Lepisosteus oculatus: one gene and its partner. The protein of the gene in region 1 binds, or shares a complex with, the protein of each later gene. Links are inferred from orthologs where the notes say so. Each region holds a gene or a part of one and is shown on either strand. Other genes may lie near its edges.

Evidence for each region. The genes of interacting proteins can lie anywhere in the genome.
Region 2: strip2 (region 1) and strn4 share a complex: the UniProt entries of both Homo sapiens proteins name them as parts of the core of STRIPAK complex. The link is inferred for Lepisosteus oculatus from reciprocal best matches to the Homo sapiens genes STRIP2 and STRN4.

Annotation. Positions count from the first base shown.
Region 1 is NC_090702.1:33,448,000-33,455,557, forward strand, and holds the start of strip2 (striatin-interacting protein 1 homolog), read left to right. Parts: upstream 1-4,540; 5' UTR 4,541-4,618; coding exon 4,619-4,720; intron 4,721-7,558. UniProt on the Homo sapiens protein: Plays a role in the regulation of cell morphology and cytoskeletal organization. Required in the control of cell shape. Calmodulin-binding scaffolding protein which is the center of the striatin-interacting phosphatase and kinase (STRIPAK) complexes.
Region 2 is NC_090698.1:474,720-482,613, forward strand, and holds the start of strn4 (striatin-4), read left to right. Parts: upstream 1-4,883; coding exon 4,884-5,153; intron 5,154-7,894. Other genes in the region: ribitol 5-phosphate transferase FKRP, read right to left, coding at 411-1,979. UniProt on the Homo sapiens protein: Calmodulin-binding scaffolding protein which is the center of the striatin-interacting phosphatase and kinase (STRIPAK) complexes.

The DNA.
Region 1 (7,558 bases):
ATATTGGTCAATAAGCAAGTCCTGTTGCTGTCTGCTTTTTATCCTGAACCTCCAGATGTTAGAAACATCTTTCTTTTTTATCTGTTTATTTGCTGTACCTTAAGTAACCCTAACAACTCGTTTGCATCCCACAGGACTATATTTCTTTTATAGGAGCATTCATTACTGTCACAAACCCTCCTCTCTCTCACAACAATGGGTATAACAATTCCATTTTATTGTAAGTATTTGCCTGGTGTTTCTCTGTTTCCATTCATGGTTATCTGCTTAAAGGTGAGTGACAGTTTTTTTTAGCGCTGCACAAATGCCATTGAAATATTGCATGCTGTTTTATATTAGCTTGTTTCGGAGTCTTTGTCTTCCTATAACCCAAGCAGACTTGTTTTTCTGTGACTCTCTTGATCCAGCCAGGAGTTTATGTCCAGTCTGCTAATGCAATGCAGTTAAACCATCCTAATGAGACACTCGGTATGCTTGAATGACAGCTTAGTTTTTCAAAAGCAAAAAATAATCTGAAGGTTAACTAGTCTTCTCGCAACAATGGAATTTTGACCCTCTCATTTTATTCACTTTCAGGTTTAGTTTTTAATAAGAAACTGTCTTAAATCCTGGCTTTTCCACTTCATCCTTGCCGTGACAATCCAGTACAGCAATGAGAATATGTAAATGCATTGAACCAGATGTGTCTATCAGATTGAAAAAAAAGGTTCTTTAATATTAACATTTTCCTCTTAGTTTCCTCTTAATAGTCATGGTCTTCTCAGTGCTGCTGTCTTTACAAAACCAACCCTCCCTTCTGGTGAAATATGTTTTAAAGCAAATCAATTTTGTTTAAAAAAAAGTCTGTGTTATGTTACCATTGTCTTGGAGGGAAAGAGTCTGCTGGTGTTTGGGAATGAGTGGTTTCTTACACGAGGGTTTAAATGGAGTGTGAAGATAATGAACAGACATTTTTCTCAATAAAAAGGCAAAAACCAGGATATTTTTCATTTTAATTTTCTTTTTCCTTTGTTTTCTTAAAATTATGGGGCCACAGGTTCATATTAGAATGAAGCAACCTTCTTAACTTTCAGACTCCTTGTGAAATACAGGCTTTAATCGTGTTATCATTTGAAGTGCTTTTAAAAATATGGGATGCGTGAAGCAATCTACTTTAACTACCCCTAGCCATACTAATCAATAATTCATTCAGAGGATAATCCTAAATGAATATGGCAGAGGAGTACCTTTCACTTGTCACTGCAGAATGGATTTTCACCGAGTCCCACAGCATGTGTTTGACAGGACATGGCTTTTGTTCCAATTTAATGTACACAGAGGAATTCACAACGTTTTAATTATTTAATTTCTTCCTCCGAAAAATCTAATATTCAGCAAGACCTGTGGCAACTCTTAATCACTTTCAAAACACAAACATGTAATGGTGCTTTATATCTGAGGAATCTAATCCAAAAGATTCCAAAATATACCAATTGACTGGCAGGAGAGGAAATAGATAGAAGTATATAGGGATATACAGTCCCTGGCAAGTTATTCAAATAACTTCCTACGGTGTCCCATTTTGTGAAATTACAAAATTCTGCATAAAAGTATTTTAAACTTAATTCATTCAAAACCTGCATGCTCAAACTGAATACTTCTAAGGGTTAAAATAGGTTACAGTAAACATCAGTAAAAACTAAATTCAGGGGAAAATTTCAAACACATGAAAATAATGCAAGCACAGGAGACACAAGCACCGGGTCACGGAGCTAATGCAAAGACTGAACACTGCACTGCCACTGAAGCAGGAATAAATGCCCAGCTGGAAACAAGGAAAGTGCTGTTAATTATGTACCAGTGGTATGGTCAACCTTCCCAACCATGTTGCCATAGGAACGGGTTGATTGGAAGATTGATTCAGCGATTGACTACCAGTTTGGAGTTATGGGAGCTAGAAACAGCACTTACCCGGGCGTGGGCATGACATATCTATGTTCATTCAGACTTGACAAGGTTCCCCATCCTTCCTGATGAGAACTACTGTTATAACATAATGCTTGATAACAGGGGTGGTGTTGCCTGAGTGATGCACTGTGCTGAGTTTGCACCAGAAATAATGCTTTACATTTAGATCAGAATATTCCAATTTTGTTATGAAATGCAACCTTTTCCCACATGTTTGCAATGTCACTGAGGTGCTTTGTTGCAAAATCCATGTGGGATTTGTTTAGTTACACACCCCTTTGTGGAGTGACTTGAATATTGTAGACCCATGGATATTTTCTCCCATCTCAGCCACTGAACTCTGTAGCTCTTTTGAAGTTGCTTTTGGCCTCAATGTGGTGATCCTAGAAAGTTTCCTCTTTGTCCAGCCGTTCAGTCTGGAGAGCCATTTTGGAGTTTGATCTTGTGTTGTGACCTAGGCAGGGTTCAGGCACCTTCCACTTCTTAAAGACTGATTTAACAGATTGAGGTGAGATTCTACACAAAAACTCAATGGGAATGTTTTGATCATTGAAAGGCTCGTATGTGTGTTTAATTCTGTGAATCAATGAAATACTTGCAACCAAATGAACAAGACAGGTTAAATGCCCTTATTTTGTTTGGAACCTTTCTAAGTGTGTTTATATATTGAAAAGAGCACCTTACCTGTCAATTCATCCTGTCAGTTTTCACATTAAAAGAACAAAATGGTTTTTTTTTGTGACAATCTAAGGATATCTCACAGAGCATTGTACTATTATTATTATGCATATACAGTACAGGTAAGTGATCATAATTGAACCTAGTCTGGTAAATACAGAAGCAATTATAGACACGTTCAAATAGAGAGGATGTAGGGGGACTCTTTATCCACTGGTTATGTCAGCATTCAACTGAATTTTCTGTTTGACTGGGAGTTTCTTAGTATTCCACTCCTATAAGACTATAGAGAGGAACATGTCATATACTTTTACGTTAAAAGAGTTTGCACAAACCATATACAATAATGGGGCAGAGAATCACAAAACAACTAGATGAAGAAAACCAAAAGCTGTGAGAAACTGTTTTCTTACAGTGCCTACTGTAGGCCAATATGCAACAAAGGTACTGAAAATCAATAACATAAAAAACAGATCTGGCATTAATAGTGCAGACAAAGTGAGAGTAACTTCAAATCCCTGAGGGACTACTGTGTAGCTGCAGCACAAAAAGGCAATCAGAATCAAGGGAGACCATCAGAAACTGACTGGTAAGATCAGCACTAAAATCCTGTTGACACAGTGGGATTTAATCCAGTGCTCTATATAGGTTTAAGAACATTAGCATGAGTGCTAATGGAGCTCTGCTGATGTACATCAATAAACAAGAGAGGACCATGCTCATTATCTATCTCTGCAAGAAGTGTACTTGAATGCTACAGTTATGCATATCGGCTCTTTGTAATTATCAATGCCATTATAGACATAGTTAGAACACCAGTGATACAGCATTAGAACAAGTAAGGTTAATCAAAATATTTAAACCCACTTACATGAAATTGTGTGAAGTGGATACAGGATTAGCATTAGTTTTCCCTCACGCTTCTCTAATCTCTAAGTGTCTCATTGTCATAATTATTGGATATGCATATTTAGATTTCTGTGGGATATCAGTAAACTCAATTATCCATATAATCTATAATCAGGTTGTATTGGAACAAACCTTTATAACAACAGCAGTGTAACAGTTCCAGTGACCTTGTATGTTTTTGGTCCTTGTTTTTATGATCGGGTGATCAGTTAAGACCTAACTCATAGACGTGCGTAATGAAAGATGACAGAAATCTCACGCAAGTCATGAAAAAACAAGTTTCTTATCTTATTGATAGGAGACCAATTTTTTTTCCACTGAAGTACAGAAAGTACTTTTTAATATGCACTGAAATACTGTACATATTATCATAGCCATGCTTCCGTAGATTTAGCCTTTTCACTATCGGAATCAAATTTACTGAAAATACGTGTCTGTACCTCAATAAATTGCATTTTGTGTTCTCCACAGGCGACTTCGTGTCTCGTTTAAAGCGCAAAAGGCAGCAACTTCGGACAGTTTACGTACTTCGCTTCTTGGACAGTTTACGTTGGTCGGATTTGACACTTAGCCCTGCTTAGGAAAATGAAACTTCACGTCTTTAAAAGGTCTTGTATCAAACTGCCTAAGAGCTTATAGTGCTGAAGACATCTTAAAATGTGTAGTAATGGACTGTCGAATGAGGTCTTCCTATTTGTAATTAAAATATTTCGTCTTCCATGCAAATATACCATTTTGACACAACGCCGCTCAAGTTCTCTCACTTCACCGTGCAGATTGTGACTGACATCCATCCCAACTCACAACTGCTGCCTGTCCGAGGTATGCGTGCTGAGGAATCCCATAGCCGCCCTCCAAGCAAACGCAGCTCCCTCACCTTGTATTTTATCGCTGACAGGCCGGCCGACCACTTCCAGCCCCATCTGCCGTAAGCCACTGCCCACAGTGGGACAGCCCGACCAATCAGCCCAGGGGGGACGGATTTCCTGAACTCGGAATCCCCCAGCCAGCTCCAATGTGACAGATTCGAGTAACTGGAGGCAGTAGGTGAGCAGCTGTGAGGACAGAGAGGGGCCAGGGACAGATGCAGGGTGCCGAAATGGAGGGATCTAATAATAACAGCGGCAAACAGAAGCCCCTTCCGAAAGTGAGAGAACTATTCAAGAACCAGAGGAAAGAATCGGAGGTAGGAGCTGATGGATGAACTAGAGTCTGTGTGTAGAAGGTACTGTGTGTGCCCGATAGTTTTTGCGTGCCCTACCTCTTTGGAAAGCGTGCTTAATCTGAGTTGATATGTTGTGACAGCTCAGACTACTGCTAAAAATACATGTGTGAATGTGCGGGCACACAATGTAATTTGATGGCAGTGTCTGGGATAATTTTGTAGCTGGCAGCGTGGCGGTATCAAGCAGAATGATGGTATGGATTTTAGAGCTGAGGACTTGTTAAACTTATTCCAGTATTAATTGATTAATTTTGAAAGGGAGGGCACTCCTTCTACATTTAAGATATATGCAATGAAATTATTATAAAATGTAAAAGATTTCAAAGAAAATCATGTATTTAAATTTAATCAAAACAATCCCATTTATCAACAATTCTGATATGTTTTTTTTTATTTTTCTCGGAATGGCATTCCGCCATTATAAATAAGCATAAAGAAAAAAAACATGCTTTTTTAGACAGAAAAAAAGCATACGAGAGCGACAGTACTGAGTTGGGATATATATATATTATACTACCATTATCTAAAAACAGTATCTTGTTAATCAAATGTGAACACGTTTGCTACACACAGTTTTTGGAAACTAGTATTACATCACCTCAGTTAAGAGATTCCATATAGCCTACCTTTCAATATTCCCATTTAAAGATTGATTTGTGTAGTGTACAATATCCGTTAAGCTGTTTAAATGTGTGAAGTGTTTATTCATTCTGTCATTAAAAATGAGCAAAATCAGTGTTGAATAAAATTAGACCATTTAAACCATCCAGTTATTTAAAACATTAAAGTGCAAAGGGAGACATTTTGTTTTGTAATGATACCAATTTATTTATTCGTACTGTTTTAGCATAAACAAATATTTGAGAAATGGGAGCTCAGTGTCCCTCTAGTCTCACTTTTCTATCACAATGAAGAGAAGATGCTGTCTGATGAAAGGTAAACACTCAAGGGCAATACTTTCATATTCCATATCTTTCTTTTATTTACTATGACATAGTGCTTTTAGTGTAGACAGATGAATCTGAAATTTTCATCTGTTTTCGCCATTCGCCTGCATTTTAACCGATGATCGAAGGCAACATTTTCCAGTGTATTTCTATACTAAAGCAAGTTTTTAAGTAAAACGTTATCTAACCAAATTTTACCCTCTTTTCCTGCAGAAATAGGATTTTCATTCTAAGTATTCTCCATGACCAATTTTTTAATCTTACCCTCTCGAATCAGAAATATTGGGACTTTATTTGAAGAAACCTCTTTAGATGCACACAGATTTGCAGTACTCTAGCTCTGAGGAAGGAAATGTTTTTGAACAGCTGTGTTATCAGTAACTTGAAAGCAGACTATGTGAGAGAGCCATATTAAAGCCCATGGGTAGTGTCTCGGTAAAACTTACCTTTTTCAATAGATAATTTTATTTTCTCAGAGAAATAACCATATGAAAAAAGTCTTAGGTTTTCATTTCAGAATGTATAAAGAGAACTGATCTCATTATGAACTGAGGTAATTATCTGTGGTAAACATGTTTCATGTTACAACTAGGAGCTAATACTGTTTTATTCTTTTCATGTGATTCATCTTATTTTATTCTTGTAATTTGCATTGTTATTTGTTATATACAGTAGAATAAGTAATAGTGACCCTAATTCCCAGATTTTCGTAAAGAAGGCTTTGCAGTGTGCAGTATGATTGTTTTTTGTGAAACACATTCTTAAGGAGTAGAGATCGATTTAAGACACACATATTGGAGAGAAGACAAACCTAATTCAGAGATATTTATATTCTTCTGTGAAAACTGTGCTGAGCAGTGATGATTTTAAGGCACCAAATCCTTCACTGCATCTTTTCCACTATGTAATCCTCCCCAAAAAGGAAGACATCTTGTCAAAATATGTTCAATTCAGTAAAGTAAAGAAATGGGAGATTTCAGAAATATCAATTTTCAGATTAACAGTGGAACATCTCTTTGGATTAAATGTTTTTTCAATGAAGTCATTTGCACGAAGCAGACCTAGCTAGTAAACTATAATCTAAGGATTTCTCTTATCATGCAGTAACTGTTTCGTTGTCTTCTGAAATCTCGACTGTCCACTGTTGTTGAAAAAATAATTTAAAGTGAGTTTCATTGATGGCAGTAAGACTCCTATTGAACCATTTAGATTTTAAGATGATGTAAGTATTTTTCTGTTAGCCAACACCTGTTTCTTGATATTTCTTGTGCATTAACTTAAATTAAGTACATGAACACAAAGAGGTGCAATGATATTGTTACTTGATCTGGTGTTTACAGTATTACAGTGGCATTTATTGTTAGATACTTGTTTCCTATTTCCATCGGAACAAGATTATAAAAGTGCCTGAAGAGTGAAATATGAAATGGATTCATGTGTTGTGTACTAGGAGCCTTCTTTACATCCACAAGAACATAAGAATGTTTACAATCTTATGAGAAGGCAATTTGGTCCATACAGCCTATGGTAGTTGGTAGTTAAGTGATCCAAGGATCTCATCCAGCCATTTGTTGAAAGAAGCCAGAATGTTGCCCTCAAAACCAGCTTGCAGCCCTTTCCATACATCCACAATCCTTTGAGTAGAAGTGGGTAGAGTGAGAAGTGAGTTGAGTAGAGTAGAAGTGTCTCGTGTTCTTGGCTGTACTTTCATGCCATACTGTCCAGAATGATCCTGGCGATTATGTAATTTATTATCAAGTTTATAATTCCCCCACTTTGTATTTTTTTTCCTCTTAACCAACCAAATGTTCTGTGTTTGGAAGTCCAGTATTATTTTAATGAAGGAATGTAG
Region 2 (7,894 bases), on another chromosome or scaffold:
TTTCACTCAATGATTTGGGAATAGTTTTGTGTAAAATTAATCATTCTACTTTGTCTGACAGCTAATGCGATTACTGGTTTATTTAATGTTTTTTTATTTTACAAATGTAAATATGCAGTCAATAAAATGTCATGAAGAATGAACTTCATCCATGGGAGTTATTACAGATATTCCATGGCTGGCCAGCATGTTCTTTCTAATTCTGAATTTGAAAAAAGGTAATAACCCAGTTCAGCACTGTAAGAATCTTATTTCAATCTGAAAAATCTGAGAGAACCTTATAAGAAAGGAGTGTTAACAGTTATATATTTCTCAGCCTCCTGAGAATCTTTTCAAGTCATTTGATGAAAGTAATATCAGTCACCTTGCAGTACTCTTTAAGACCACCACAGTCCTGCTTCTCAAAGTACTCAGAGTCTACTTCTGTCCAGTCGTTTTTTAGCAGGGTTGGGGTACTGGGGGTTTTCTATCACCCCTTCCCCAAACTTGAGTTCCAAGAAGCTACGGTAGTTGTTGGGTGCATAGGCGGTTATTCCGGCAAACTGGACAGGAACCAGGGGATGCAGGAAATGCTCAGGGAATTCCACATCCTGCTTGTGGTCCATCCAGGTGTCCTTGGTCATCACACCGTTGCGGGGATAGAAAGGCCAAAGGTCCACATGCAGGTGGTTGGCCTCGCTGAACTGAACCCGGTAAAAATCCCCCTCTACTGCCCTTTCCCACACATAGCCATTGGCGTCCACAAGGGAGCCGGAGTCCAAGTTCTTCAGGTAGTCGCAGTTGGGTACATCCTCCAGGTAAATGCCCAGGTCTACGTCAAAGTCCCAGGGAATAATATCTTGGTGGCGGGCAGCACCCAGGAGAGTCCCCCCTTCCAGCCAATAACGGACTCCTGAGCTCTCCAAGATGTTGATGACATACTTAGCTGTCTCCCGTAGGGCACGCAGACAGCAGGGGGGTGTCCAGCGCTCCAAGTAGAGATATTCGGGGGTGTCATCATGGATTGTCCCAAAGCATCGGGGCATCTCCTTGTTGCAACCAAACCATTGCTCCTTTCCATCTGGATTAATAACCCGCTTTATCCCGAATTCGCGTAGCAGCCGTGCCGTGTACTCCTTCAGGCGGCTGTCAGCCTTCCACTGATTGTGAGCTGAGCCGAAGAGAGGCCTGCGGTTCGAGCCGAAAGAGGGCCCCTCCAGAAGCTTGACCTTCCATCCCCGCAAGGAAGTCTGGATGAACAGAGAGGTCATGAGCGGCCGGGCAAGAGGGCTGGAAAGATTGAAGAGGTCTTCTGTCCGGGTCAGGACTACAGCATCCCCACGCAGGGCTGTGCACACACTGCCACTGCTCCCTGACGCTGCTGGGGTGTAGGTGGCTGTCCACTCCCTCAGGCTCACTCGTAAATGGAGGCACTGCACTGCCGACCGGGACAGGACTGGGGCCGCCACCAGTCGTACTGGCCCCCCGCCCTCCCCTTCCAGCTCTCTAACCAACCGATCCAACTGTCTCCCCAGGTCCAGCTCCACGCCGTCTGGCACAAAAAGGACGTACTCCGTTTGAATAAAGAACTCTGGCCGAGACACTTGCGGGGGCTGGTCTGGAGCAGGCTTCAGGACCACAAGACGCACCCCCTCCGGCAGCTGCAGGGGTGGGTAAGGGAGAGTGTCCGCCACCACCAAGAACGTTAGCTCAGGGCGATGTCGCAAGAAAGAATGTGCCACCTCCTGCACATAGTTCTCAAAGTCTTCAAACTCACGCAACAGAACTGTGACACCAGGGCTCCTGCTATTGCCACTGATACCCATGCCCATCCCAATACTCATCCCAGCTGCGGGCAGGGGTGCCTTTTTTGGCAAACCCTTCCCCGGCTCCCTGCGCTTCTCCATCATCTGCTGCTGGGCCCGGGACACATAGTAGAGGATCAGCAGGTTCAGAGCTATGGCCCCAGTTAGGAGGCCCTGGCAGAAGCTCACTCTCATCCTTCCTGCTCGAAGGCTTAACTGTCAAGCTGAGTTCTTTACATCACTCACGTCTCCTGTGTGTAGCTCTCAACCGCTTTAAGCATCACTGCTTCAAGTACATCTTCTTCACAAAATAATCCACTTCCACACCAAGACTATCCCACTGCAATGACTGATCTTTATTAATTTTTAGCAGCCCATATTTTTCACACTTTCCAATACTTTCTGTCTTTCATGTGTGAGTCTGATTGCAGGTCACCAGTGTTGGTGTGAAGGGCTTCATTTCCCAGGTCTGCCTATAGGTAGCTTGAATCAGAACGCCAAAGGACTGTGCTTCGTTTCAAAAGGGAAGACTTCATTTGTCCACAAAGTGCTAGTGGCTTCCTCCGGGAATACCTGAAAGCACAGAAATGACATGTGATAAAAGCTATAGAGTGTGGCCATTTCTCCTTCTGTTGTTTGTTCCTCTAAATAGGTATTCATGGGTTTTCACATGCTTATGAACCAGTATTGTCTAATTCTAATTTCTCATTCTCCTACAGATGTGATTTTAAATTTAAGTAAAAACCTAACTGTCAAAATGCCAAAGAATATAAAACAAATATATTTAATAATTAAAAAGAGGTTGTGTTTATGGTCTGAAAAACTGAAAACAGCTTTGTAAAGTTTTCAGACAGATCAGTGTATTTTGATTTTAAAACCTTTCTGCCTCTGCCCTTACCTGCAGTATAACACTTAGTTATATGTGTTTATGCCTGTGAATTAGTAGTATGAGCAATGTGCCTCTTAGATAAATACAATTGACTAAATTGTTCTGATTTTTTACATCAGCATTACCACCCTGTAGCATGATCCCATGACACCAGACCTATATTGAAATAGGACATCGCTAAGAAAAAAACAGATTTTGAGGCACTCCTCCCGCTGGTTCCAAATTTCCAAACCAGCACCCCAGTGGGTGACCAGGACTCCGTATTGTAGGATGTGCACTTTATCAGATGAGATGTGAATTTGAAGTCCTTAATACTTGCTTATTAACCACCCCATGTCAGTCTTCATAAGAACGAGAGTGTATAGACTTGCACTCTGGGTTTGTTTGTGCAGTCTAGTCTCCCTAAAGTCCCCTATGAATTTAACAGGCAAAAATCATTCTCATTTCTTCACCTTATGAGCCTGTAGTGGGTGTGCTGGCCATGCATCACCCAGGTGGGGTCTGTCCTGTATTTGAAGGATCTTTCTGGATGAACCACATGATGAGACCATGTGGCTGTGCTAGCAGTAGAACAGGCAGGCGAGTGGAGTGGATGGAATGAAGAAACTGTGATGTGGGCATCTATACCACTACTATCAGCAGGGTCCAATCTGTTATTCATGGAAAAGCACAGCTAGGAAAAGACCCAGGAGCAGCGTGGCGTGGCGTGTATTAGGTCACCAGAATTCCACTGAGAGCTCACACAGATTTAAACAGCACAGTTAAAGTAGAAACACATATATTTTATAAAACATGTAGGTTTTGTCAAAAACAATGCTGTGGTCAGGTCCCATACCTATGTGTTTCTCTTTTGCAAATTAGAAATACACAAAAGGCTGAATGTGTGATAATGAAGTGCTGCAAGTAAAGTGCATGGAAATTTATACTGGAGAGATGAAAAGAAACCATTTTAAACGAGTACCAATTAATGTGTGTATTACAATGTAAATTTAACACCTTGAATTTCTCTAAATCATCAATTAGTAATTTATAGGAGCTTATATAGGGAAATAAAATTTTAAGTTCATACTGACCAGGATTCTGTATCTACTTTGGCAGTTGTACACCTAGATCAACATTTTCTTGGAAACATGGACTGAGGCAGCAGTATTCTTGAATCTCCACGTTTCCTTGGTAACTGGAGACATATCAAAGTGTGCTGCTGAGATCTTCCGTTCCCATGGAAACCTCCCCCTGCATAAACCTGCGGAATCGATTATGAACTTCTGCCACTTGGCCTGAGACCCACAAGGGGGCGCTATTCCGCAGGGGGCAGCGATTGCACGCCAAACTATGACTCAATCACAACGTCCAGTTTTGTTTTCCATAACGTCTTGCGAACATAGAAACACGCAATATACATTTGTCATTTTCCTGTTGAATGAATCACAAACATTGACTCCCTCTATTAAAATACCGATGTGACCATTTGAAGTTTGTGCTGTGCGTTTAACTGGTTGGCGCATTTTTCTTTAAAAAGTAAAAAAATAAACACGCCAATATAGTAATTAGGGACAGCACGAGTAAAGCGCACTCGGGAGTCTATTGTACAGACTATGTATCATTACATTGTGTTAACCGTAAAAATACAGAACACAATGACACGATATTATCACTATTTCTTTTTTTTTTATGAAACGGGTTATCTGCTTTATGGGAACTACGACGCCCCTATTACCATGCGATGAAATGGGTTGAGATTGCTGAGCAATGCTAGTCTAGTAATGCTTGTATTTATAGCAATTGCTTAGTAATCCACGAAGCAAGGGTTTTACTGCGAGGGAAAAAAACGCCGTATAGACATTTTTACAGTAACAATATAAAACGGAAAATGCACATACGTAAAGAAGCGGGGCCCACAGAGAAGATTTTTTTCCTTTTTTCCAAAAACGCAATCCCCGAATTGTTATTCCTACGGGAGCCAGCGGCTTTAGTTAGGAAATGACTGCAGGAAACAGCTCGGCTCACAATTTGGCAGGAAGGTACCGCCCTGCCAAGCACTCGCCGCAGGAAAACGATGCAAGTCGACGGAGATCACTATTTGGCAGGCGAGGCTTGTGTGTGCGTGTGGTAGAGTAGCTGGCGGTAGTGATCTGAAAAGAGGAGGGAGAGGGAGGGGGGGATTATATTATCGTCTCCCTGTTTATCCTGGCGACTCCTAGTTCTCCATCATGGAGGCGGACAGGTCCTGTGGAGGAGCGGGCGCAACGAACCCGAGCCCAGGCGGGAGCGGCGCTGGACGGAACCCCAACGGGCCCAAAGCGGCGGCGTCTCCCTCCCCGTCCGCCGCGGGGGCGATGGCTGCCTCTTCCCAGCCAAAGGACATGCAGGAGGCAGAAGCGGGCCTCTCTCTGCCCGGGATCCTGCACTTCATCCAGCACGAATGGGGTCGCTTTCAGGCCGAGAAATACCGCTGGGAAGCCGAGAGAGACGAGCTGAGGGTAATCGCATGGGAACTTGAAAACCCGTTTCTTTGGGGGAGAAGCGCACGGCCGGCTCGCTGTCGCTCCGTGTAGGTCGGTCAATCAGAGCAGCAGCCGCGGCGGTGCGATTTCGGGCGGCGGTGGTCTGTACATTGTTGTGTGTCGTCCGACGGCACACGGTCAGCAAGCCTGCTCAACACATCGTCACCAATCGCCACATGAAAGGGCTTGCAAAATCAGGGCGCTGCAGTCCCCGCTCCGGTGTCGTGACACTGTTCCCTCCAGCTGTGCACGGGTGCGTGACCTCGGGGTCAGCTGGCACCCCGAAAACGGAGCGGGGTGACGTGTCCGAGCCGGGGGCTGCGGTGTAGTGTGGGAGGATCAGGCGGTGCTCCCGTCTGAACTCTCGTGAAAAAACACTTCACGAAGTTAACCTGGATTTTACAGAAAAGTCACTGAGTTTAATGGTTTTAAGCTTAAGCTCCAAAAGACTTTGGAGTTGGTTGAGTGCGTTTTGTCAAGTGGTGGTCTTTTTTAAAAAGTTTGTAAAATGACTGAAGCCTAATCCTTAAAAATAAGTATCTCGAAGGGCTTGTTTCCAGCACTGCCCTCCAGTGTACTTGTTTGCTGTGTGCAGTCGTGTTACTGAGAGCACTGGCCAGGGCCTCATGCAGATGGTCTCAGAAGCCAGTGTGCCAGCTCTGAATGCAATTGTCTGCTAGTTGTGTCCTGACATGTAGATTCCCATGGCCAGTCACCGTTTCCCTGTGGACTTGCATGTGTGTGTATTGACACCATGCAGCCTGGCAGTGCTCAAAGGACCAGTCGGCCCATCGGTAACACTGCGTGGTGACAAGGCGCTGAGCAGTCGATCCCACTGTCCCAGTTGCTCAGGCTCCAGGTGAGCAGGTACAGGCAAGGGCTGGGAGTGAATAGCTGTGCAGCAGGTCAGCCATCTCTTCAGAGACATTAGAACCAGTGACCTCAATTCGTCTTCAATTCCAGACTGACATAAAAAAATGGGGCCTGGCATTAACAATATGAACACTGGCCCAACTTCAGGCTACAGAGGCCTGAATAGTCCAGATTTCTTATTTTCAAGGTTTTTCTCAACATATGGTCCTCAACAACAATACATTCATGTTCATAATATTGTAACGCAACGGGGGCTCAGGCGGGCGCCCTTGCCGCATCTGGTCGGCCCAAAGTATAGGTGGCTCGAACCCGGGACTTCCGCGTCTCTCTGCAGCGACCTAGCCCCGTGAGCTAAAGAGAGATCTCTCCACAGCCCAGTAGCTGTGGTCCTGCTATCACAGGGAAGGGCGGTGACGTCACCCGCTCTGGTACGCCGGCTCTTACACACACTGCTTGTCGGCCGTAAGCGTTACACTGAGCCCCCGTTGCGTTACAATATTAAGGTTTTAAATCAGTTTTAAAGTATTTAGGTATTATAATATTCTGATTTTTAATAAATTCATTTTGCATCAAACCAACTATTAGTAGTAATACAATATTAGGTACCAAAACATAAATGTTGAATGATTTACCAGGGTTTAACCAAGACTAAGTAATGCCAAGCAACTCTGGATACAAGTTTGTTTTATCAGGGATATAGCACTTTCTACCTCTAAAGCTACCTCTTTTCAGTGTTCAGGTGTTTTTGTGTCTGTGTTTTAAGATAACATAATTTATTGAGCAAAAACTACCAGTATGATAGCTTGAGCATGTGACGAATTAGTTTGCTCATGTGACTTCACTGACCCGTTTGGGTCACTCCGGGTTGTTATCGGCAGTGAGGAAGGACAGTGGGGAGTGAGGACCAGCTGTGAGTGAAATAATCAGTGAGGTGTGCTGTTTGGAGGTGATAATGATATTGTAGTGTGATGGCTGCAGCGTTACTTTGACTGGTGATATTTGCCCACCAGCCCAACAGGAATTTAGTTTAATTTAAATATTTTTAGTTCTCTCAGAATTAAGACATTCCCGATTCAAAGTACCGTAACTAATTAAATCTTAACTTTCTTCCGTGATTAAAGAGCTAAATTTATCCATGTAAGCTAAGAAGGACTGTCCCCAAGATTATAGAGCATGGTGGTGCTGTGTCAGTTGAAGATGAGAATCTAAAGCTTTTTGCCTTTTTTTTTAGATAACCAGATAGAAAATCGTACCATGACATCTAGTATGGTAGCACTGGAAAATATAAAGTTACAGTCTAATCCTAGGAGCTGTATGCTTGCTTTTTTAAAATCTTTTTTTTTTGTAAAAAAACAAATGTCTAGTTAACCTACATACTAGATTGTTTCATATTCAGCCATAGGATCTGGCTTTGGAACTGGTGGACAAGTGGCTCTTTGGATCGGTAGTAATTTGACTTTGAACGTTCAGAGAAAGGCGAAATCACTGCAGGTCCCAGCCTGTGGTGAACCCAGGGCTAGATTCACCGAAGTAACGGTCTGCTCATCCCCCTGTGGGATCGGTAGCTCCTCGGGCTGTGTCCCTTAGATGAGTAACTTTCTGACACAGCAGATGGCCAGTACCTCACTGGCAGTACCGGTGTAAGCATGCTGTGTGTTTGGGACAACACCAGGCACAAAACAGAGCAGGAACAAACAGCAGTACTTGGTAGGGTGACCAAGGCCTGGTCACCAGAAAGAGATTGGGCATTCAGTTTGATGAAAACCAGATGTGAGTGTGATTCAGTAAGGTTCTGTTTAACAGAGGAAATGTATTATATATCTTTAGGTAGTTTTAGGCTTCAC